Linked DNA regions of Saccharomyces cerevisiae S288C. The gene in region 1 interacts genetically with each later gene. Each region holds a gene or a part of one and is shown on either strand. Other genes may lie near its edges.

What was found.
Region 2: mutations in MPT5 (region 1) and CLB6 impair growth when combined (synthetic growth defect), as found in Saccharomyces cerevisiae (one study listed by BioGRID).
Region 3: of MPT5 (region 1) and PUF3, changing one suppresses a phenotype caused by changing the other (phenotypic suppression), as found in Saccharomyces cerevisiae (one study listed by BioGRID).
Region 4: of MPT5 (region 1) and LRG1, a mutation in one rescues a mutant of the other (synthetic rescue), as found in Saccharomyces cerevisiae (2 studies listed by BioGRID).

What each region holds. Positions count from the first base shown.
Region 1 is NC_001139.9:164,860-171,535, reverse strand, and holds MPT5 (Mpt5p), read right to left. Parts: upstream 4,185-6,676; coding exon 4,182-4,184; intron 3,542-4,181; coding exon 965-3,541; downstream 1-964. Other genes in the region: YGL176C (uncharacterized protein), read left to right, coding at 1-121; serine/threonine protein kinase TOS3, read left to right, coding at 6,445-6,676. UniProt on the Saccharomyces cerevisiae protein: RNA-binding protein involved in post-transcriptional regulation. Negatively regulates expression of HO by binding to the 3'-UTR of HO mRNA. Predominantly binds to mRNAs encoding chromatin modifiers and spindle pole body components.
Region 2 is NC_001139.9:704,104-709,071, reverse strand, and holds CLB6 (B-type cyclin CLB6), read left to right. Parts: upstream 1-2,570; coding exon 2,571-3,713; downstream 3,714-4,968. Other genes in the region: YGR109W-A (gag protein), read right to left, coding at 590-1,462; B-type cyclin CLB1, read right to left, coding at 4,021-4,968. UniProt on the Saccharomyces cerevisiae protein: Involved in G1/S and or S phase progression. Interacts with CDC28.
Region 3 is NC_001144.5:121,575-127,928, forward strand, and holds PUF3 (mRNA-binding protein PUF3), read right to left. Parts: upstream 3,141-6,354; coding exon 501-3,140; downstream 1-500. Other genes in the region: EMC6 (Emc6p), read left to right, coding at 1-74; YEH1 (sterol esterase), read left to right, coding at 3,960-5,681; rRNA-processing protein SOF1, read left to right, coding at 5,949-6,354. UniProt on the Saccharomyces cerevisiae protein: RNA-binding protein involved in post-transcriptional regulation. Negatively regulates expression of COX17 by binding to the 3'-UTR of COX17 mRNA. Promotes decay of COX17 mRNA by enhancing its rate of deadenylation and subsequent turnover.
Region 4 is NC_001136.10:20,403-27,052, reverse strand, and holds LRG1 (GTPase-activating protein LRG1), read right to left. Parts: upstream 4,231-6,650; coding exon 1,177-4,230; downstream 1-1,176. Other genes in the region: ADY3 (Ady3p), read left to right, coding at 1-650; YDL241W (uncharacterized protein), read right to left, coding at 6,047-6,418. UniProt on the Saccharomyces cerevisiae protein: Acts in signal transduction. Activates CDC42, RHO1 and RHO2. Negatively regulates 1,3-beta-glucan synthesis. May be responsible for the down-regulation of CDC42 during mating.

The DNA.
Region 1 (6,676 bases):
CAGTACTTCACCTTACGATATACCTGAAGAAGCACTTTCTCAAAAAATATGCATCTTAATTCGGAGAGAAGATGATCCCTACAATGGGGCCAATATCTTCATAACATCTGCTTTGACCTAGTTTAGCCCACCGAGATTTTTGCTTTATAAATATTTTAGCATACTTTGCATTCATATACATATTCATATGTATAAATATTCTTTAAATTTTAACGCCGACTTCGAACTAATTAGCAGTCAAAACCCAAATGTAATGACCTTATGGTGTTATAGCATAATTCTTCTTGGTGTACAATTCCATTCTGAATAGTTCAACGATTTTAGATATAGTTAGATATGATATTATAATAAAATATACAAATATGTATCATTGTTAGTACAAGTTAAACCTAAATATAATAAAGCCAACCAAGACAGGAACCAGTAGAAAAATTTATACAAATGACAAAGAAAAACAAACGGTATTTTCCTATTTATTAAAAATGCTTGAGCGAATGGATATTTTAACACATTAGTGTCCTAAAGGACAATTGGATTTGAAAATAAAATGACAGTAATAGACAAAAAGAAAACTGAATGAATGAATGGACGTATGGATTGCTTAATGAATGAATGAATTAAATAATAGTTGGGCGTAAGTTCAGAAGATGAGGAATTTAAAACAAAAATAATCGTTGACAAAAAACGATTCAAAAAAAAATTAGATCATTTTGGTAGGGAGCAATGCTAACCCTGCAAAGGCAGTGGGAGGATTTTGGATACGTGTTCGGAAACAGAATACAAAATATAAAGATGGCAATAGTTTGCTTTACCATTTTTTTCCGGCTCAAATTTTGGGACTTTAGTAGGACGTCATTGCTTAGTTGAATTTTTTATTTTTTATTTTTTATTTTTCTTTTGTCTTTGATTTCTGCGTAAAATATTTGTACAGTAAGAAGGAAAGAAAAAGAAAGAAAAAAAAGTATTATGGCAAAGTGAATTGAAGTTCATCAGATGTTCTAGCGGTATTCATGGCAGGCATATTGGAAATACTAGCGTTGCGGCTCATATTAACTTGATTATATGGGCCTTGACCAATATGCTGCGACTTCATTGACAAACTTGAATCCCAGTTTGCACCTTCCGTTTGATATTGCATACGAGGCACAAAAGATTCATTGAAGTTTTGACTATTTGCATTAGAGTATGGCGAGAAGTGATTAGCATTAATTTTGTCGGTTTCATTCATCATAAATCCAGGCTGCTTAAATCCCCTTGAAACATTAGGATTCACATTGGTAATGTTAGATGATGAGAACGAATGGATTGGTGCAGCAGAATTAGGATGTGCCATTAAATTTGCAAACTGGCGGTTGTCGAAGTTTTGTAACGAGTTATGGCTTACCAATGGTGGGTTAGTTTGAGAATTGAAAGAAGGTGCTCCCATCGAGGGATATGCGTTTTGGTTGAAGTTCATAATTTGTTGCGGAGAGTGAATTTTCTGATCTTGTGCATATTGGTTTGAGAAATTATTGGTTACAGAGCTGTTACTTCTTCTATGGTAAGCATTAGCTGGTAAAGAAAAATGACGGGTATGACTCTTTTGATTATTATTGTTATTATTATTGTGAGCATGGTTATGATTATGATTATGATTATGATTATGACTATTTTTGTTATGGGGGTTCTTATTTTCGTTGTTAATCGTTTGAAGATTGTTATGACTCATTGCAGTGACTTGAGGAGATATGTCAGTGAATGGTATACCTGTGGCTTCTGCATAAGCTTTAACTTTCAACTTAATTTTCTTTGCATAGGATGTAGTTTTAATACTTGGAAGTAATTCTTTTGTAAGGACAATCAAGTTACCAATTTTCAATGAAAAATCGTTACAAAAGTTACCGTAATTCAATGTACTAGAGCTGTTTTGCCCAATTGCGTTACTATTTTTGTTGTAAGCAAGCAGAGGAGAATAATTCTTAACGTCTAATAGCGTTTGTAACGCATAATTACCAAAATTATCCCTGATTAGCACATTTAAATTGACTGTGAATATATCAATGGTAGTCAAAAGAATGTTCATAGAAGCATTAATCACGTCATCAGAAGCAACTGCAGTCCTTTGGGAGGCACCCCCATTGTTATTAACAATAAATCCAGTAATGATTCTAAATAATTTTTTAATGAATTTTTCCACAACATTTGAGGAGAACTTCAAACAAGATAGTTGACATAATTCATTGGATAAACGGTTAAATAACTCAGCCAATAAGTAAAAGTCCAATTCTTTGATATCTAACAGAAATTGGATGATATAATTACCGAACTGATCGTTGATTAATCCAGGAAGGAACTGCACAATTTTCACAGAAATTTTGAAAATTTGTTGTAGAGTACAAACGCTTAGTAATTTTTGTAGTACGCAACAACCATGTTTATGGGTAGAAATGGTAATGATATTATTTTGTTCTACAATAGCATCTATGATGAAACCAAATTTTGATGGCGAGAATTTGAAAATACACTTTTGAATCACATGGTTACCATTAAGATCGTTTATCAAAGTAACCACTTGCTCAATCGAAGTAAATTCTTGGGAAAATCCCTTAATAATGAGATCGATTTGAACTTCGTTATCGACAGTGTCTATAATTTTCTGTAAGGAACGAGTTCCGTACTGATTGATTGATATTTGGAAAACATTTGGATATATTGTTTGTATTAATAATGTCTTTTGCTCGGCAGTTAAATAATCGCATAGTTTTTGAACCAAATAGTTACCGAACGGATCCAAAATAAGGTCCAAGAAAAATGGCTTAATTTGTTCATACATCAAGTCTCTCACCATATTGGATTCACTGGGGGTTTCTAATTTTTTTTGAAGAAAACGGCAGCCAAACTGGTCAGTGGCAAGTTTGATATAATCCAGATCTCTAAGGGGTAGTGCGCTGATTTCGACCATAGATGAAGACGTTGAGCTACTCAAACCAAATGACGAATTATCCACTCCACATTTGGAAGCAGCATTATTACTATTGCTAAAATTTCTGAGAGATGCAGCAGGAGTCACTGAAGAGGATGGTGTTTCCATAATTAAACTGGAGGTATTGACACCAGAGTTCGAAGGAGCAACAACCGTGAAATCGTGGCTTGATTTTCTCCTGGGACCATCCATTTCCAGATCAAACTCATTGATTAATGGTAGAATGGCTGGAGGATTTGCCATTGAGGCTGAAAGCCCAGTGGAGTTGCTAGCAGCATTAGGATTCGGGGAAAAAGAGTTAGCAGAATTCGATGTTGATGTATTATTCATCAAAGCCAAGGGAGATTGTGTCGATGATATGAACTGATTAAAACCAGAGAGATCAAGCGAATGAGCCTTTTGATGGTTTCTTTTGTTATTCATCTGGCCCAAAGGCGGAGGGGTCACGGGCTCCAAGAGTGATTGGACGGAGTTAATAGATAGTTGAGGCTGATGATTGTAAGACATTAAGGAGTTATTTGATGTAGACGTAGTTAAAATCGATGCTGAGTCGGCAGATGGAAATGGTTCGTTATTGATCTGATTGAATAAAAGAATGTTGTGTTAGTAAAGTGAAACCACAAAAATAAGGCGTGTGCAGAGCCGATTTTGGAGTATAAGCCTAGGATCAATTTCGATAACTGAGAAAGAGAACAATCACAACCATGTACAGTGTCCAGGTGGCCTGAGATGCGTGAGAATCAAGAGTAAATCTATCTATAAAGTTCGACTTCAATGGCGACAGAGGATGGCAAAAAAAGAGGACAGGAAAAGAGGAAGACAAAACACAAAATTTATGCTTGATTTTAGAATGAAACCTATAACCATAAAGAGTAAAATCCTTATAACTCTCAACGAATCTGCATAAATTTTTCATAGATCTTCGAATCTTTTCTTTTTTTTTTTTTTTTTGCTCATTTTTGCCTGAGGCGCCTCTTTCCCGAAGCCCTTCTTTCGAGAAAATCCTTATAGGCATATTCGAGAAATAAGGTAGGGTCAAGTATCAGAAATTCCATACGACATAAACGGAGATTGTTAGACCGCTAAAAAAGGCGTGTCGATAGGCTGATCCCACTGAAGCTGGTTTTTGGTTATTATGCTATTTGTTGTTAGAAGATCCCGTTAAAGCTTATGCTCCATTGGCGAAGAAAAATATTGGGAATTAAGAGATAATACATACCATAAGAGAAACTGGAAAAATCGTAATTGATTTATAAATTTGCGTAGAATTCGCTTTACTATGTGTTGGAGAGGAGTTGAGGAGGTTTTTTTTTTTTTTTTTTTGGTTTTTTAGCTTTTATCTTAAGGAATAGTAAAAGTGGCGGTTGTAGTAGCAGGCTTTTGCTGATCCGTAGTCCAAATCTAGTAATTTCAAGGCGCTTGACTTCTTGATGTTATTACCTTTCTTTTATTACTTAACTTGCCAATCAATGATGTGTCAATGATCTTCTCGGGGCTAGCAGATCTGTTCTTTTTTACCTGTTCTCTTTTTGTGTGAAAAGATAAAGTAAATTATGAAATAGGCTGATCTTGATGTTGACTCAACAGTACCCAAGGTTTTGAAATGTGAATTGTGTTCAGTATATTCAATGTTTCAGATATATATTGAAAGGAAACCACCTATTATGCTTTTTAGGCCTCTATGTAAGAAAATCTATACGTTTAACACAGATGCGAACCAGGAAAGAAGAAGAGTTCTTGTAGGCCACGTTTAAGAATGGCAAGAGAGAAAAAAAGAATGATCACAAGAAAACTGATTTCAGAATTGTAATATCGGACGGCAATACTAGTGTAATCTGAACCACAAGGTTAGTCTTAGCTGGGTAAAACACCTGGCGAAAGAAGAAAAAAAATAAGGAATCTGGATGATTATAAACTTTTTTAAATTACCCTTCTTTTATACATGAAAAGGGCATACAGCATACATAAACGGTAAAGAAAAAGAGGCAATCGTCAGTATTAATTGGCTCTAAGCTAGTCCAGGAAATAACCGCGTATAAATCCAAACCGTACTTCAGAACATTCAGATCTTTCTAGCTACTTGAAAGCGCGTACCATTTCCCCAACCTTAATATGTATATTTTATCACTCACTATGCAGTACTAGGCCGCTTCTTTCTATTGCTTTTCAGATTGCCAGATGCAATATATCCCGCTTCGGAATTATTAAAAATTTAGGGGTTGGCCAGATGTTTAGAACCTCGCTTTCCAGTTAATTGCTTTAGGAAAAGAAAGGCCAATATTGTTGTCATTTTTGTATTTTTTGCGCGGTACTGACCTTTTACTGCGGCGTTTCGCGTTTTTTTGGCATTTCGCGTTTCAGTGCGGCCCCCCCTCCCCAAAAAAATGGCGTATATTTTTAGTTAGTTTCTTCATCGTTCGATGCCTAAGCCGAGAATTTCAGAAGGCTTCTAAGGGCCAGAGTAAAGAGATCCATTGAGCCCCCACCCAGTTGGCAGCGGATGCCGAAGGGCGGAAGGAAGGGGCGTGTATAGGCTTCTTTACGAGAGCAAAAGACATTACAACGTACAAGGGACATTCCGTTCCCTTGTACGTCATGTTAATGAGCAAGAAACCGCTCACCGGCAATGGTTGGTGGTAGTGGTAGTATGGACTCTTTGGGTGATGAAAAGTAATCAGAACATTCTGCAATTTCTTTACATTTCCAATACTTGCTCCATTTAATCCTTTCCTTAGGTGGCGATAGCCCACGCGAAAGACGACCTAGGGTCAGGAGATTATCAATGCACTTGAGGCTTTAACTACTATGGCTTAAGAAGGGTAGCTACTTTATTTTTGTGCTTTTAAGAAATGTAATCATTAATTAAGTAATTAGGAGGTCAAGACGAAAACCATAAATAGATTGTGTAGAAGGGGCCGTACATTTTGTTTCTTATGCAATGTGGTAGTTTCGTTTACCGCCCTCGCCGGTCCATCACAGCATTTTGGAGTTCCTTTCTAAGGTCCATCGGAGCACCTTTATTTTTTTTGCGCTTCGGATAAATTGCATTTGGTTGATAACTTCCATCTCCACCCGTCCCCTCGCACCGGACCTTTTAAAGATCCCTTTGTATATAATAAACCAACGGGTCCTATAAAGACTACCGCTGATATCTTCGGTTTGCACAACGTCCTTCAGCAAGCAAAATATGGCTGTTTTTATTCTCTGTATGTCCTCATTGATGAGGACTCGCAACAATCTTGGCTATTTTTTTCGTTGAGCATACCCGGTCCCTGAATCTTTTGTGCGGGTATTATACGAAGAGCGGGTGTGCCTTACTTATCCGCGCGGTATATAAAGCCATACATTGTTAGGACAGGTGTCCCCAATAAGAAACACTACTTGTAAGTGGTATATAATGCTCGAGCCTCTAGTGACTCGTACTCTACGCCTTGAAATTGCTGCGCACATATTCTGCATATAAAAAGGAAGCTTTGAAGAATATGGTACTACTTAAAGAACCTGTTCAGCCGCTGCCTCGATCATCTCTGTTATATAATAATGCGAGCAATAGTAGTAGTCGTATAAAAGAGACAAGAAAAGTCAAACTATTATATAATCCCTTAACTAAGAGACAAATCCTTAACAACTTTGAAATTTTAGCCACTTTGGGTAATGGACAGTACGGCAAAGTGAAATTAGCAAGAGATCTCGGGACAGGTGCGTTGGTTGCAA
Region 2 (4,968 bases), 540 kb from region 1:
AGACAGGGTTTTGGTTCTGGAGTCACCACGATTACCAGCGGATTTCGGGTCAGTTGCTTCGAGAATGGTGGGGGCAAAAGACAGTTTTATGTTTCTGGGGTTACCACGATTACCAGCGGAGTAGGTTCTAACGTTATTAACGGTTTCGGAGCGATAAGTCTTGGGCTTTAAGGAGTCGGGGCTCTCTCTGGTATTCAGTACTGTGTGCAGGATTTTCGGGTAGCGGCGTAAGATTGGATTTCCAATTAACAATTGGTAGTCCATGTTATCCAGTATGTACGCGGCTAAAGTTATATGCAGGTCATTGATTTTGAGGTCAATGGTGACTGCTTCGGATGTAACGGCGGATTTGGTGGCTACGAATCCTCTAAAACGGAGTGGAGGGGTCTCGTAGATTTCGTATTTGAGAAGTTCTACAATATCTCTTCGGATAAATGACGTGGGTGATCCACTGTCAAACAGGGTTTTTACTTTCGTGTTTTGTATTTTTATGGTTTTTTCGGCGGTATTGTCCATCTCGGGGATGGCGATATAGTGTACAATTGGTAAGGTTTTGATAAAAGGAGTTTGTTGGTCTTTTGATTCGAGTTCAAGATCGGTTAGAACTCGCCTTACGTGCTCTACATTCGTTCAGGCGATGTCCCTCTTTCTTACAATAGAAGCATAGCCGATTTTTTATACATTCTTCTCTAGATGGGTTGTTATTTCTCCTGTTTCGATGATTTGACATTGGTTTATTGTAAGATCTTCTTGTCCTTACGGTATGGACGTATCCATTCTGGGTCAGATTATCTTCTGAATCATAGTCAGAGTCGTATTCTTCTTGTAAGTGGGTTGTGGCACCGATGATAGTGTCTCCATCAGCATCAAGTTCGAATCCTGGGAAGAATCTTTCAGTTAGTGCAGTTGTCTGGTAAGCCTCTTCCATGGCGTCTTTTAATGTCTCTGGTTTGTGCATTCTGACAATATTATAGGTTTCCTTTGTCAATAGCCTAGTATATGTCATTATGGCAGCTTTTTCGGTCATGAAGTCTGGTGGCATTCTGTCCCAAATCTTTCTGAATCGTTGGTTGAGACGCTCAATACCAAGTTTAGCTTCGGAAAGTTGCGTGATTGCATTAAAGATTTTATTGATATCTGGTGGCTTATAGAAATGCTGATATAATCCTTGTATGAATGTGTCGAATGTTATTTCAAGTATACCTTGTTCTTGTACAAAGTCATTAGCCCACTGAGCAGCGGGGTTTAATAAATGTCTTCTGCAGTACACAATACGACTGGCATCATTCGGCCAAGATATCATAGACATGTTTAACATTATTTCGGAGATAAAGTTTTTCAGTTTATGCGAGTCATTTCTACCTCTGAAGGTCAAAGATGGTTGGATCGGGAAGTTAGGAAGGCATTCTACTGGGAGTTTTGGATAATTTCCTCCTCCTGGGATTTGATCCATAAAGCTCATACTGGGGTGTGGTGTAGCTAGGTTCGGCTTTTCGATGGTTCGTTTGAACAATTAGTAACCTTTAACGCTACCAGGTGTTGTATTACGGGCTCGAGTAATACCGGAGTGTCTTGACAATCCTAATATAAACAGTCTTAGGGAAGTAACCAGTTGTCAAAACAGTTTATCAGATTAATTCACGGAATGTTACTTATCTTATATATTATATAAAATATGAATCATACTAAGTGGTGGAAGCGCGGAATCTCGGATCTAAACTAATTGTTCAGGCATTTATACTTTGGGTAGTTCAGCTAGGGAAGGTCGGGTTTTGTCTCATGTTGTTCGTTTTGTTATAAGGTTGTTTCATATGTGTTTTATGAACGTTCAGGGTGACGTATTGTCATACTGACATATCTCATTTTGAGATACAACACTTTCAGAAAATCAAGCTCGTATGGCGCAGTGGTAGCGCAGCAGATTGCAAATCTGTTGGTCCTTAGTTCGATCCTGAGTGCGAGCTTTTTATTAACTAGGTGGTCCTTCCATGAAAGTTTTTTTTTTTTGAAGATGTTCTTTTTTTTTTTTTGGGCCTCATTACAATGTAAGAGGTTATTATGTGTTACATGAGTAAAGCTAATTGACGCAAGCAGGTAATGAAGAAAGCCCTATATTACCGTATAGACAATGGGCGCGTCCCTAAAGAGGATACCAAATAGCAGTTTTACGCGTACCACAAAATTTAACGACCAACGCGTATTCTTCGCGTTTTTTTTTTGCGACGGTAAACAAAAAAAGGGCCCTCTGCGGTAAAACAAGTGGGTCTACCACAGGACACAGGACTTGGTTGTTTCTACTCTCCCTGTGTATCCTACAATTGGCAATTGGCAATTCGCAACCTGCGTTTAAATATTTACCGTTTTAGCACATTGATTACCTTTTTTGCTAGGGTTAAGTTTTTGCCTTTTTCTTATTAACATATATATAACTGCTTCATTTCATACAAGTGACTTTTATCTTTTATTAAATAATAACAAGCTTCACTAATCTAGCGTTCATACAACATACAAATCAGTGTGTTGAAAATTATTATTCTCTGATATTCTCTCCCTCCTTTTAAATTTTTAAAATGAATTGTATCCCTAGTCCAATTAGTGAAAGGAAAATCCAAATTAATAATGAAGATTGTATAGGCAAGGAAAATGCTTTCCATACCATTCCAAGAGAAAGTTCAATTAACTTGACACCTCACTCTACGAATGAAAAAAAAGTTCTATCCGAGGTAAACAGTAACAAAATCGATTCTTTACAACTCCCTCGAGGTAAATTGCAAAGAGATTCCACCCATTTGGAAAAAACAAGAAAGAGACAATTATCAAATGATTCAACCGATCCTATAGAGCCAAAAACTGTGAAAAAAATAAAATGTCATCAATGGAAAAATTTGGATTCGATAGAGATGGATGATCCATTCATGGTAGCAGAATATACAGATTCTATATTTTCTCATCTTTACGAGAAGGAAATCCAAATGCTACCGACACATAACTATTTAATGGACACGCAATCTCCCTATCATTTGAAAAGCTCCATGAGGGCGCTGTTAATTGACTGGTTGGTTGAAGTTCATGAGAAATTTCACTGCTTACCTGAAACATTATTTTTAGCGATCAACCTGCTAGATCGATTTTTATCACAAAATGTTGTTAAATTGAATAAATTACAACTACTATGCATCACTTGCCTGTTCATTGCCTGTAAATTTGAAGAAGTTAAATTACCAAAAATAACAAATTTTGCGTACGTGACTGACGGTGCTGCCACTGTCGAAGGAATTAGGAAGGCTGAGCTATTCGTTCTAAGTTCTTTAGGTTATAACATATCTCTACCAAACCCCCTAAATTTCATTAGGAGAATTTCAAAAGCTGACAATTACTGCATTGAAACAAGGAACATGGCCAAATTCATCATGGAATATTCGATTTGTTGTAATAAATTCATCCACCTGAAGCCATCATATTTAGCTGCAATGTCCATGTATATCGCCAGAAAAATTAAAAATGAAAATTCCAAATGGGATGAAACTTTTATTCATTATAGTGGCGGCATTGATATTGAATCAGATCCAGCGTTTAAGGATTTTATCAGTGAACTAGTTGAAGATATTGCTGTACCTGATACGAATCTAGATTCCTTGAGACTTAAATACAAAAAGCCTAAACATGGCATGGTTTATTTCAAGGTTTTTGACTGGTGTAAACAAAAACGTTGAAACATAGATCAAAATTATAGCCAGCTAACCCCCTGCATCTTAAATATCATCGATAGACATACTTCTTTATTTCTTTTATGTATTCAAAAAAAGAAAGAAAATGCATTATTCCTCACTTTAAAGATAATTTTCCAATTATGGGAGAAAAAATTTATAAATGAATTAATTATTACAGCCTACAAAACTGATACCGTGTGATAATATATATGAGATAACCGTTATATGAATAATGAATGCCTGATTTTTCTATAAAATAGATGATAAAGTAAGGAAGTGAGATTTTGGTTTTCTGTGTAGGCTAGCACCTTCACTCATGCAATGTCATAATATCATATCCATTTTTCCTTACCTTCAATGCCCATTCGATAGAAATTATGGAAGCCTTTAAAAATCTTCTCGATTGATATTTTTTCAAGAACTCGTCGTGAATAGTAGATCCAACAAGATAATCCATCAGTAATTGGCAAACGGGATATAGTTTTGCCTTTGTGTAACCACCACTATAATGGATTAAGTTGCCATCCCAGGTGCCCTTGCCCAGCATTTTTCTCGAAAGGAACATTGCCGCTGAGGCACATAATGACGGTAATATCCCGATGAACTTGAAGTCCACTATAGATATTTCCATTAGGAACTTCGCTAACGTCCTAGACTGGATATCATAGTCATCCGCTTTTGATATTCTCCTTAAGAAATTCATTGGGTTAGCGAAACTAATTTGAAAATCGAGTTTTTCCAATATAAATCTTTCACCCTCTTTAATATCTTCCACAGAGCATGCACCGTCTGTCTCGTACGCAAAATGTTTTATGCTAGGGGAGTATATTTCCTCATACTTAGATGCGATGAACAGGCATGATGTACCAACCAGTTGCAATCTATTTAACTGAACCACCTCTTCACAAAGAAATCTATCCATTATGTTTATGGCCAAATATAGAGTTTCCGGCAGAAGGCCAAACTTATTATGAATCTTGATTATCCAGTTCACCAAAATGTCTCTGTTTTGCTTAATATTTTTATGCTTATAGAGATTCGCCTTATTTGGCAATGTGATTATTTCCAAGTGATGCAAATAATCGAAGATATCATTAACCTCTTCGCTCACCATTAAGGGATCATCACAATCTTCTTCATCTAGGTCATCCCATTCGTACTCCTCCAGAACCTCTTCTTCTGTAGTCAATTCATGGAGTTTGAACTTTTTCTGGTCATCCTGCTCTACAAGAGTTGATATTGGCCTTTTTTTTTTGGA
Region 3 (6,354 bases), on another chromosome or scaffold:
TTTTCGAATCGTTTTTTAGAGAGATAACTGGTTTTGTCATGGCATGGACATTTGGATACGCCCTAATCGGATGAACATATAAGAACTACTTCTATAAACGGTTAGAAACAGGCTTGATTTATTATGTACAGTAAATATAATGTTATTTGTGTTTTTTTTTTTTAAATTTTTTTAGTTCCTTCTATGTAAAAAGACATGACAACAGTATTCTCAGTCAAATGATTTCAAATACACAATGTTAAATTCTCTATCTGTTGCAGAAATAAGAAGAGCGTAAGAGCGCAAAGATTTTTGCAGAAAAATAGAGATGAGGTACAAAAAGTAGGTAATGGAAAAAAGCAAATAATGAATATAGGGGAACATAAATGTTATGGACAAGAGTAGATATCAAAATAAAACAAAATAAAATAGAGTAAGTGAAAGACAAATGGAGGAAAAAAAAAAAAAAAAAAAAAAAAAAAAAATAGTAAAAAGTGAAAGGAGAACGATGATAACACTAATCACACCTCCGCATTTTCAACCAATGCTGCAAGTTTCTCAACACTGGCTAAATGTCTATTTCCTAGGGAGTTAGATTTGTTTAGTTTATCCAAATATGCTCTAATGGCAATGACGATCAATTTCTTACCCTCACCCTCAGAGACATTAACTAATTTTTGAATCACATAGTTGGCAAATTGATCCTTGATCATTAAAATCATTGGAGAATCGTCTTCCAGATTCAAAGCATGATTTTTGTCTCTTGGTAAAATCTTAGAAATTATTAAATCCTTCTGATTTTTAGAGCCATAAAGAATAGATTTTTCGACCACGTTGGAGGCAAATTTATGTTTAGAGTATTCGACAACATTATTGGCCACAGTTTCTATGATTTCCTGTTTGATATCGACCATTTCCTTATTGGTGAACTGATCTTGTTGCAAAACATATTGAATGACATAGTTACCATATTGGTCTTGAATTAGATATGGTATGAAATCTTTCAATTCGTTTAAAATGCTTTCCTGATCTTCGCTCGAACCAAATTCTAACAATCTTTGAATGACCCTACAGCCGTAGGAGTGGGTAGATAGATGGTAAATGTGGCCAGTTAAAGAACTTAAGATAAAAGGTAATTTTTCGATAGGAATTGTTTCGATGGCCTTTTGAATTACGTGATTACCGTTCTGATCTTTGATCATTTGCAAAACGGAGTCAGATAATTCCAGGACTAACTCAATTCTTTGATTGGAATCAATATATTCTAACGCCTTTTGAATTACACGACATGCGTACATTTGTAGAGATAACTGTTTCATGTTACCTTTAAATTGATCAACCAAAGTATTTTTTTGAATTTTGCTACCAAATTCAAAAAACTTCTGAATGACGTAATTACCAAATACATCGTTCGAAAGCTCAATGGCGTCATCGCGAATTTCATTGAATATGACCTCCTTTTCTGAGGCTGGTGAGGTGGCCAACTCGCGCTGAATGAACCGTGAACCATGTTGATCTTTGCAAAACTCTAAGGAATGGCCAAAGATGTCTTTTAGTGACATGTTCGAGTTTGAATTTTTGTCAGAACTACTGTTTCTTAGTTGCTCTAACAACGGCGATCGATGATACGTTTGCTGCTGTTGCTGTAGACTTTGAGAATGAGGATGAGAATGAGAGTGAGATTTATGGTTGTTGGCCGTTGACTCATTAGATTTGGAAGAAGCATTCTTTTTAGAGGTATTCTTTGTGGGTATAGAATTTTCTAGATAAGGATTTGCCTGTTTGTTGGCGTTGTTGGAGTTATTTGCAGGATGATTCTTGTTATTTCTTTTCTTGAAGGTTTTTTCGTCCTTGGGCATTTTGACAGGTATAGGATTTGGAGTAGGGTAGTAAATATAAGGATTCTCCTGTTGCTGTTGCTGTTGTTGGTCTTCTTGTTGTTGTTGTTGTTGCTGTTGCTGTTGTTGCTGGGGAGCAGAGAGTGGTGGAGGTGGCATAAACATCATTGGGTTGGGGTAGGCAAACGGGAACGGAGAATTGTTTGGAGGGGACGAAGGTGAAGAAACAGAAGAAGGTCTGTTTGCCTTCTTCTTTTTCTTACCATTTGAGTCTTCGGTGTCTTCATTTGCTGGAATCTGTACTGAAATCATCTGGGAGATGAAATTTGAAGGAGATCCGATCAAGTAGTTGGGGAAGTTTTGGTAATGAGGGCCCTGATGAAACTGATTGGGTGGGAAGCCGTTCATGTAGGGGGGGAAATTGTTATTTGCAGGCCCATCTTGTTGGTTAGGAAGCGCGACATTTGTGGCCCCAACAGCGGCTGGATTGTTACTAGGTCTAAATACTGGTGTGTTGGCTACGTTCCAGATATTTCTCTTGGGGTAATGAGCATTTTCGGACTCTAAAGACGCAGATGAGCCTGAATTTGAACTGGAGTGGTAAAGCGAACCACTGTTAGTAGTGTTCCTATTCAATTTGTTGAAGTTTTTGTCAGACTCGACATTTTGCTCGAAAGTATTCTGTGTGTCTAAGCTGGCGTTAGAGACGCTTTTTGATATGAATTGGGACTGAGTATTGACAGCGTCGGGTCTATCTTGAGATTCCAGTTCCCTTGTACCGTCAATCAAAGATTTTCCGAACTTCTCAAAAAACCCTTCCCCACCAGAGTTGTTGTTGTCATTGCCATTGTAGTAAACGGGACCAGCAATGGAAGCTGAATACTGGCCCAGAAGATGGTTGACCTTGTTGTTTTTCCCGAGATTAGCCGCAGTATGATGAGTATGATAGTTATTGTACGATGCGGATGACAGGGAGGCAGTGTCGGTTGATCTGTACTGGTAATAATTGCCGCCGTTACCAAAAAACTTTTTCGAGTTCGTGGAGAATGGCGGAGCAGTACCAACTGATAGGGCGGTTTTCTTGAAGATCGGTGAAGATTCACTGGAACCGTGAAGCAGCAAGATCTCTGAATCTACTTCATTTGCCGTGGTGAAACTCGACCTTCTGAAGCCGCCAATTTGCTGTGATCCAGCAGCACCGCCGTTCACAATGCCGGCCGCGGCGGCCTGACCGCCGTTGTTGTTACTATGGGACAGGGCGCTTAAAGAAGAAACTATGGATGCGAGTTCCATATCCATATCCATATCCATGTTCATTTCCATTTATACCCGCAATATTGCGTTATTCAGAAGAAATTTAAATGCGTAGTTCTTGTTTGTTTTCTTGTTTGCTTGCGTACTTCTATGCTTATAGATATATCAGTAGCAAGGAAGTTTCCTTTTCACCGCCTTTCAATGTTCCTATCTTTTTCTTATGTTTCTCTTTAGAGACCAGATGACCAGAAAAAAATTAGCTAAGCAGTGTTATACTATTTACAGTAGATATTCAAATATGTGCAGGCACCACTTATTTTTCTTTTTCCTTCTTTTCTTTGTTTTTTTTTTTCTCCTATTCATCAAGCTTCATACATCCAATATACATTCTCAAGTGTGCTAATGGTACATTTGGGAAATTATCTTCCTCTCTCCACAATTTTTAGAAGGAAAAAAGAAATGCAGTTCAGGGTAACAGAGTGCGCAATTACCGTAGATAGCGATCGGATGTTTATCTTTAGCCCTCTTTTTCTAGCTCAAACCCCGGCACGAATTTTTTAGGTCTTGCTGCTCTGCCCTCGGGCACTTTTCTTCGAGAAGTTCTGGGGCGGTCTGATCGGGAAAAAACGTTCCCTTTTCGGACGTATCGCAGGCAATGTGCAAAAGCTTATTATATACGAGAAAAGAAACGCGAAGGAACGAAAGAAGATGAAAAAAATGCAGCGATAAAATGATATTGTGGTTAATCTAAATTTATATATATATATATATATACATATATATATAGAAATCTATTGTTATACACAAAAATACTTATTTTTTAATATAGATGGCTGCAGATAAAGTAATAGTTTTATATATAGGTATATTTACTGCACAATTCACACGATGGGTGTTTCTGCGGTGTTGAAAAGAGCTAGGAATTTACTAGCAACGTTCATAGTCTGCTGTTTTATGGCAGTAGTGCTTGTTCTGGCGCTGGCACACCATTTTATAAATGAGCACAGAGACACTAGGAGTTCATCGACCCAAATCGAAGTTGATGACGAAAGTAAAAGAAACGTACACCATGACCATGTTCTCACTAGAACCAATGCATACGCGACGCCATACCTCGATCTGGAACATGACAAGAAAAACGGTATCGTCTACGATCATACAAGAACGGTTGTCCGTAAAAAGAACCACGAAGTGGGGTCCTCGTCACTGCATAAAAACCTTTTTCACAAATTTTTGACAAAGCTTATTTTTAGGTTTATCGAGAAGGAAAAAGTTACCGAAGGCGTAACGCAAGGAAAGTTCAATAATAGTAGCAATGAAATTGCCAATCATGAACCGGTTTTTGAAAAAATTCCTGTACAGTGCGACAATCCATTACAGAATCTAATCTTATCGGAAGACTTGACATTAGTTGCGGATCTTAATTATTATTTTAACCAGTACAATATTCAAATAGAGGAATTTAGATTGGAGACCGAAGATGGGTTTGTTATAGATTTGTGGCACTTGATACCAAAATATAGAACGACAGATTCTGACAAGAAGAAGAGGCCACCCATTTTGATGCTACATGGCCTTTTGCAAAGCAGTGGTTCGTTCGCATCCAATGGTAGAAAATCTCTGGCATATTTTCTGTATCAATCCGGTTACGACATATGGTTAGGGAATAACAGATGCGGGTTTAGGCCGGAATGGAACGAAGCGAAAGTACCGACACTAGCTTCCAGGTGGGACTGGGACCTTCGCGAGATGGTTAAGTACGATCTGACCCTTTTGATTGATACCGTGTTAGCTAAGACGCAGTTTGAAAAGCTTACTTTGATCTCGCATTCTCAGGGCACTACACAGGGGTTTATGGGCTTGGTCAACGAAGATAAGTTTTTCCCTCCCGGTTCGGGATCTAAAGAATCTTTTTTCACTTCTAAGATCGCAAACTATATTGCCTTGGCCCCCGCAGTGTATCCTGGTCCCTTACTTAACGAGAAATTGTTTGTTAAGCTTATGACAAAGGAAATCGAAAATCCCTGGTTCTTTGGTGAAACGAGCTTTTTTGAGATAATGATGATTGTAAGAAACTTGTGCGTTGGTGAGAGCTTGTTCTCCTTTGTTTGTTACACCATCTTCAATTACCTGTTTGATTGGAACGATACCCTTTGGGATACCGCATTAAGAGATCGCCATTTCCTGTTTTCGCCAGTCCATGTTTCAGTGAAGTTGATGCAATGGTGGCTGTCACCCGACCCCAACAAGGTAAGTTTTAAATTTGGTTCCCATAAGATGTTCCCCGACAATGTTAAGTGGTTTTCAGACGCATCAAAGGCCCCAAATATCTACTTGTTTGTTCCAAAGCAAGATAGATTGGTGGACGGAGAAAGACTAATCAATCATTTCGTCAATGTGGAGTCGAATGTCAACTACAAGATCTGGTACATTGATGAGTATGCCCATATTGATGTCCTATGGGCACATGATGTCATAGAGAGAATTGGTAAACCAATTTTACAGAATTTGAACAACTATTACTCCAAGAAGCCATCCAGCGCCTTTGAAAGTGATTGTTCGGACACAGAGGTGGAAACGGAGCTGGAAATGGTTGCTGAGAAGGCTTGAAGAGGAAGCATGATATATAGGTTAATATAAATTATACTTGGGAATACATAGATAGAGGGCTAGTAAATTTTTAGTTTTTAATTGTTCTTTTTTTTTGAAGTATTGTGTCACAAATTGTCGGGAGTTGGGACATCACCGTGCATAACGATACATTTTTTTGAAAAATTTGATATTGAAAAAAAATCGATGAGTTTGAATTACATTACAGTTGTATAAAGCAACCGCATTTCATTAACGTAGTTTGACTCGCGAAGATAAGGCGTTAAAATGAAGATTAAGACCATTAAAAGAAGTGCTGATGACTATGTCCCTGTTAAAAGTACGCAGGAATCTCAAATGCCCAGGAATTTGAACCCTGAATTGCATCCTTTTGAAAGGGCACGTGAATATACTAAAGCTTTGAATGCCACCAAATTGGAAAGAATGTTTGCTAAACCCTTTGTGGGTCAGTTAGGATACGGTCATAGAGATGGTGTTTATGCTATTGCCAAAAATTATGGTAGTCTGAATAAATTGGCTACTGGTTCTGCAGATGGTGTGATTAAATACTGGAACATGTCTACTAGAGAAGAATTTGTTTCCTTTAAGGCGCATTATGGACTCGTTACTGGTCTTTGTGTGACACAGCCTCGTTTTCATGACAAGAAGCCAGATTTGAAGAGCCAAAATTTTA
Region 4 (6,650 bases), on another chromosome or scaffold:
AAAAAATTCAGAAAAATGCCGAAGATAAATTGAACGATTACATGAATGAACACCAGGAAATTGTTGAGAAACTTCAGAATCAGGCTTTGATTGCTTCAAGATGGAGCACTCAAATTCAAGAGTCAGAAAACACACATAAGAAAATTACTGACGAGTTAGCTGGAAAACAAAGTGAAATATTAAAACTCGAAGAAACAATTCTATCACTAAAAGAAGATGTATTCCAAGAGAAGCTGAATTTAAAAAAACTATATGGTGATCCTTCTACCGAACTTAATTTTGAAACTGTTGGAAAATCTTTTCCACATATAACGAAGGAAAAGTACGACTCCTTGGGTCTTGATATTCTGACAGACCTTACCTATGTGCAATCGCAAAATCTAATCAAAAATTTATTAATTGTGTTGGATATCCCATTAAAAACCTTCTTAAAAATTGTACCAACAATTGTCATTCAACTTAGATGTGAGCTTACACTTCTCACAAAATTTGCTAATGATTTGAACCTTAAGGTTTTTGGTAAACAGTTAGATTTCAAAAGTAGAAGAAAGGTCGCAATGAATGAGTTTTTGAACAATCATGATATTGCTGAAGTAAAGCATCCTCTTGAGTATGATTTGCAAGCGTTGTTTAAATATTTCTTTTCTTAGCTTTTTTTTTTTTATTTAGAACTAATATATTCAATGGTGTCATTAATTATTATTTAGAGAATAAGTTACTGGTGGGGGGTGCACCTAAAATAAAGTCACATAATATAGAGCATGGCAGATATTTTACCGCTGGTATTGCTTTTCCGAAATTTTGGTGGAATATTCTTCTGAAAGATTTCAATTTGCTAACAGACTTCTTAAGCACTTACAAGAACAATGTAACTTCTGATCTGCTGTTGGAGATGTTCTGAGATATAAACAAAATTTACATCAAAAGGCGAGTAATACAATGATACAAATGATTATAAGTACATACTAATGTTACAATTTCTAATTCCATTTTAGTCAGAATATACTATGTTGTATAATAATAAAATAATGTCCATTTCCATAGCATACTGGTAAGATTTTATTGAAATAGGCAAAGAAAAAAGCAAAGAACTCTAATAAGAACGACAAACCTCGAAATCTGAGGGGAAGGAGAAGAAAAAAAGGAAAATGAGGGGAAACTTACAGTTTCTGCCTATTATTTGTTTATTTCACCTTGTATGACCGTTGTGGTCGAATCTTTGACTGTGACAGGAGTTTTTATGTCACATTCGGAATAATCGATTGTTTTACTTTGCATAACGGTGGAAATAAAATGGTTGATTGATTCGTAGTTATCTAATTTTTGTAACTGCACATCTTTTAAAAGATTCATTAAAAATTTCGGAACCATTGCCATTTCTTCATTGTGAGTAATCAGGTAATCAACTATCTCAATAGCCAAAAAGTAATTTTCTCCCTTGTTTTGAGCGAATGAATCAACTAAACCTGATTCTGGTTCGTCAGGGACGTTATCATTGGAAATTTCTTTATGTCGCAAATATAAAATATTAGGTGTTATGACTGTGGATAAATTGTGAATGTCCATTTTTGATCCCATTTCATTCTCAATGTAAGAGAATGAGGACGTCCAATGCAAAAATGACAAAAGTGCCTCCAGTAAATTGCGATTGTAAGTGGGTAATAAGGAATATATTAGCAATATAACACGCTGTTTCTCATCCTCTAAATCAATTTTCGCGGCCTTAATCCATAGTTCATATAAGTCTGTCGATAAAATCGGTTGGGGAAGCTCTCTGATAAATTTCTTCAAAAGAGCAGATAATTGGATTGCATTTTCTTTCGAGAAGTCTGGAGCTTCTGTTGGATTACTGTCGATGTTAGCAGTTAGTTCTCTCAGTCTTCTGATATTTCCATTTTTCCTGAAAATACCTTCTACTGACATATCCATTTGCCTCAAAGATGATATTAGCTCGTCAATAATTATGGGGATCCTAATCTTCACTGGCCCCACACCTAAATCGGAATCAACACCCCATTTCTCGCACAACACATCTAAAGGAGCACCAAAAACAGTCTTAGTGATGGGCTTTTTAGGCTCCATGCTCATCATGATTTTCATTCTGTTCCAAAAGCTACCTGTGACTTGCTTTTCATTCGAGAAGACCATTGAGACTAAGCTAGTATAGTTAGGATCAGTCTTCGATATCAGTTGTTTACCAGCTAGCAGTGACAAACTGATAGCCCTTATCATCGAGAGTTCCATCGTACTTAATTCAGAGTAATAAACTCCGCTTTTCTTGGGAACAACATTCGAAGTTTCGTCATCGGTTTCTTTTAGTTTTTTAAAGTGTGCAAAAGCGTTAGGTCTTAGCTCCCTTGCTTGTTCAGCGGCAACAATACGTGAAATATCATCTAGTGTCAACGTCTTAGTATTACTGAAAACATTTTCACGTGTGCTCACTTGTTGGCTCGATGATGGGTCATCTGTTTGAATCACAAGATTTTTACTATCTCCTTGTTTTGTCGGGTCATTTAAATCTGTCTCTGCAGTTTCCAGTATCACTGATTTTCTAGCTTGTTGTTTGTTATGAGTGACCCGAACACTTTCTCTTCTAGATCTCAATCTTTTAATATCATTCAGTGTCCTAATGTAAGTTTGTTCCTTTAGCATAGTACTCTGTAAAGAGTTTCTGCCTACCTTGTTAGATGCTTTCGATTTCAACATTACAGTTCTTGATTTGACTAGGGCAATTTTTAGAAGAAAAATTAGTTGTGCTAGCTTAGTAACAAATTTGAAACCCGGCACAGAGGCCGGATCATCAATTGAGCAGTGAGAACATAGTATCTTTTTTTTCTCTTTATTAAAGGTGGGATCCGTCAAACTCCTCGGATTTATATTCTTATGGCATGAAGAACAAGTAAAACAAGCAATATGCCACCGGTGCTCATAAAATTGAATGCATTCCTCCTGTATGTATTTATTGCATCCAGCGCAACTATCTGTGGCGTTAACAGGAGTCTTTATATACTGAAACGGGTTATTTTCAAAAAGCTCATTTTTCTCTACTTCTCTTAAAAACCTCAACAATGGATTAACAGAATGAGTCAACTTATTGTTTTCTAGAGCCGTATATAGCCCAAATCTTGTTAACAGTTTTAGAAAATGGGCTAATCCAGTAATAACAGACATAAAAGATGAAATTGTGATAGTTTCGTTTTTGTTTTCTGTCCCTAACTTTCTTAAGAGTTGTAAATATATCATAATTTTTGTGGACAGATTTTTGGGAAACTTGCTGTATTTACTGGCCGCCATTGCGTTGTTTTCAATGCATTCTTGATCACTGTTAACTGGCATACTTTTGTTCGTCGAGAGGTTTAAAGTATCCAGTCCCCGGAAAAGACAGTCGATTTTTAGTACCAACAGACCCGTAGACTCTATGCCCTTTAACTGATCATTGCTTGTCAAATATTGAAACATATCAGAAATGCAAGAAGCTGCCTCTTCCTCAAAACGATATAAAACCGACCACGTTTTAGATAGAATAAAGTTAAACGCCTGCATTTGTTTATCTAACTCGTAGGCAGTTGGGTTTATATCTTTGTCTCCGGAATTTGGGTTATATTCCAGCTTGGGAAGGTACTGCAAACCAACAGTTTCTGCTGCTAAATTTACATGCCAATATTTATGAATTCCATAACATTCCGGATGCCAACAATGTATTTCTTCACCTTTAGGAAACTCGATATATTGATCCGATATTGGGAACTCGCACCCTTTGCAACGTTTCGAAAAATACTTGAGAAAGTGGTACTTGCAATACAATTGGTTTCCGTACATGAAGCATTTTTTAACCCCACAAGGAGTAGCACATATTGTACAAGAAAAATGCTCTTCGTCGTATCTGTAACCGAATGCGGTATAATATAATCCACGCAATGGGGTATCACATACATGACATAACAAATTATGTCTTCTAAAATAATCGTATTGGCATAACAATATAGATTCACTTGTCTTGTCTACTTGATATGGGAAGTACTTCGGTTTTAAAGGTTTCTGACAGTCTTGGCAGGTAAAACAACTTTCATGATAATATTTACCGAGAGCCTTTAAAGTTGTTTTAGTTCGTTGGCTATCGGGTATAACTAACTTGTTACAACGGGCGCATATTTTCTTCTGATTCTTCACCTGCACGGTCATCGGAGATGCAGTATTCAGCGATCGATAACCAGCAGAATTTTGAATCATTGCTCACCTCCGGTACTTGTTGTTTGATAATTTGTCTGCTCTTTTTTTCTTTGGATTTGAATAAATACGGTTGCGTATATCTGGGATAAAGGCCAAATAACAATGTTAAGGCAAAGACGGATACTGTTTTGAATGAGAAGCCCAATTGCTGGTTTCTAGCAAGAACAGCCTTGGTTGGCTCGAGAGGAATGATTTACATATTTTAAATTCTCAAATGACGTTTCAGATTCTGTTCTTATTTGTTTTCCATTTTGTTTACATCTTCCGTGCCCATCAATACCCGGCATACTTTGAAGACGAAAAAGATACTTACATAAAGATAAGGATATACTCGCCAAGATCGATTTCTTGAAGTAAATACTTTGTGGGGAGGTGTTGTAGCGATGGGCTAACCTGCAAGCATTAAGTTATATTTACTAGTGAGGTACGTTGTAGAAAAGTGCGTTACAACGAGAAGTAATTCAAACGTAAGTAGCACATGCGGGCTTCTTGATATATTTGCTAGCTCAAAAAGCTAACTGAGTACAACATGGGGGCCACCCATGTTGATTATGTTCTGGTCGTAAAGTGATCTTTTACGGGTTATATTGTTTGCCCATAATTTCAGTTTTGAGGTGCCTATCGCTTCTTCTCGTTTTGTTTTGGGAACGTTTGAGTATTTACTTTATAGTGCACTTTTTTGCGTTTTCATCTCTTGACTGTTCGAAAACCAATGTTGGTGAAGGAAATAGCTAAGTATGACCTCGCCTTAAACCAATCTTAGTATCCTGTCTCTTTGCCACAGCTATTTCCTACTTCCATTAAGATCAATTTCTTTGCTATTGGAATCACAGGCGACTTAGAATGCATTTTCTATACTAGTAATTCGCAATTTTCTTGTTTTCCACAACGGTTTAATACTAAGCAGATGATATGACAATATGGCAAACATGATATACAGAAGAGAGCTTAATGGGACCAACTAAAGTTAGATGACACCATGGTCCAATTTTCTGAGCATGAACAACGGCAGAACAATAGCTGAACTGGACCGATTTGATTTTTGAACAGGAAATCTGTAATTTTTTATGCTTTGTTTTATGTAGCGATTTTATGATTATTGTTAATTATACATCTCACAAAAGCCAAGAAGAAATCTGAAAAAGTGAGCCCACACGTAGACTATTTGACGCTCATGAAAGTTGTCAAGCCTTGTGTTAGCGTTAACGTACTTCATTTAAAACATGGCCGCTTCGTGAGAAGTGGAAGCATAGTATCGATATTTTCTATAATCTAAATTATTTTAGTGCCCATAATGCAGTATACTGTATCGTATAGGAGTTCTGACTTGCTAATGTAACACAGTAGACTTCACCTTCACTTATGGATACCATTGGCTTATTAAGACATCAGAGTTCATTAAATGAATAGTAACAATCCTTGCGCAAAAAAAGGCGTCGATGACGCACTTTTGCGTTCAAGTTTTATATACTTGGAAAGCTATGACTGATGAGACGGACCTGTTTCGCATAGAAATTCGGTGCTTAACATGTAATTGCACCTTTGTTTTTGAGAAATCCATGAATTTCGCGGTAAAGGCTCGATTAATGATTATTCTATATATATGTACTATAAGCCGATTATCGCAGTTTTTCCAGCCTCCTTAGTAAATTACCCACTGTTTTAAGATGAGTCCTACTGACGGGTTACATTTTTATAGTCTTTCTTCTCAGGCGACCCAAAGTTCTGTCTGACTGTCTCGTATTATATGTAGAAACGATAAAAAATTATATGGTGGCTACTGCGACCACCAATCCAAAGTGTCATACCTTGAGAATTAGACAATTGTATACAACACTAGCATGAACAGTATGGTAAATTTGGCGAGAGAATGAGAAGGCCTTGTATTATGTATTCCCGCATTGGTTTCTGTACCTTTCCCTTGCAGAAAACCACATGCATAAAAGTCGCTTGCCACATAACTCGCATTTGTGAAGCCATGCGAACCACACGTAAACGTTTCAGGACTTTCAGCAGGCTGCCCAGTGAGAAATGTATCATAAAAAATTGAATAAGTTGGGTTCTTTTCTTTAGCAGTTTTCTTTCCTTCAGCTACCCCACAATTATAAATTTCTGTCGGCGTATAGGTTTGATTAATATAGCCCTTGCTACCGCACTTAAACAATAGAGCATTTTCAGTTACGTTCATTTTTTTGTGTCTCTATTATAGATTTTTCTTGGGTGTGATGCAAAAATCGCTGATAGGAATTATAATAAAGGAATATATATATATATATATATATATATATATATATATAGGTACTAATTGGCTTTTCTTATACGCCTCCTATTGATTCACTGCCGAAAGTGCCCTGTTATATACGACAATCATACGCCTGTTTGCAAATAGTCAACATATTCAACTCGGAAGGTAAAAGATG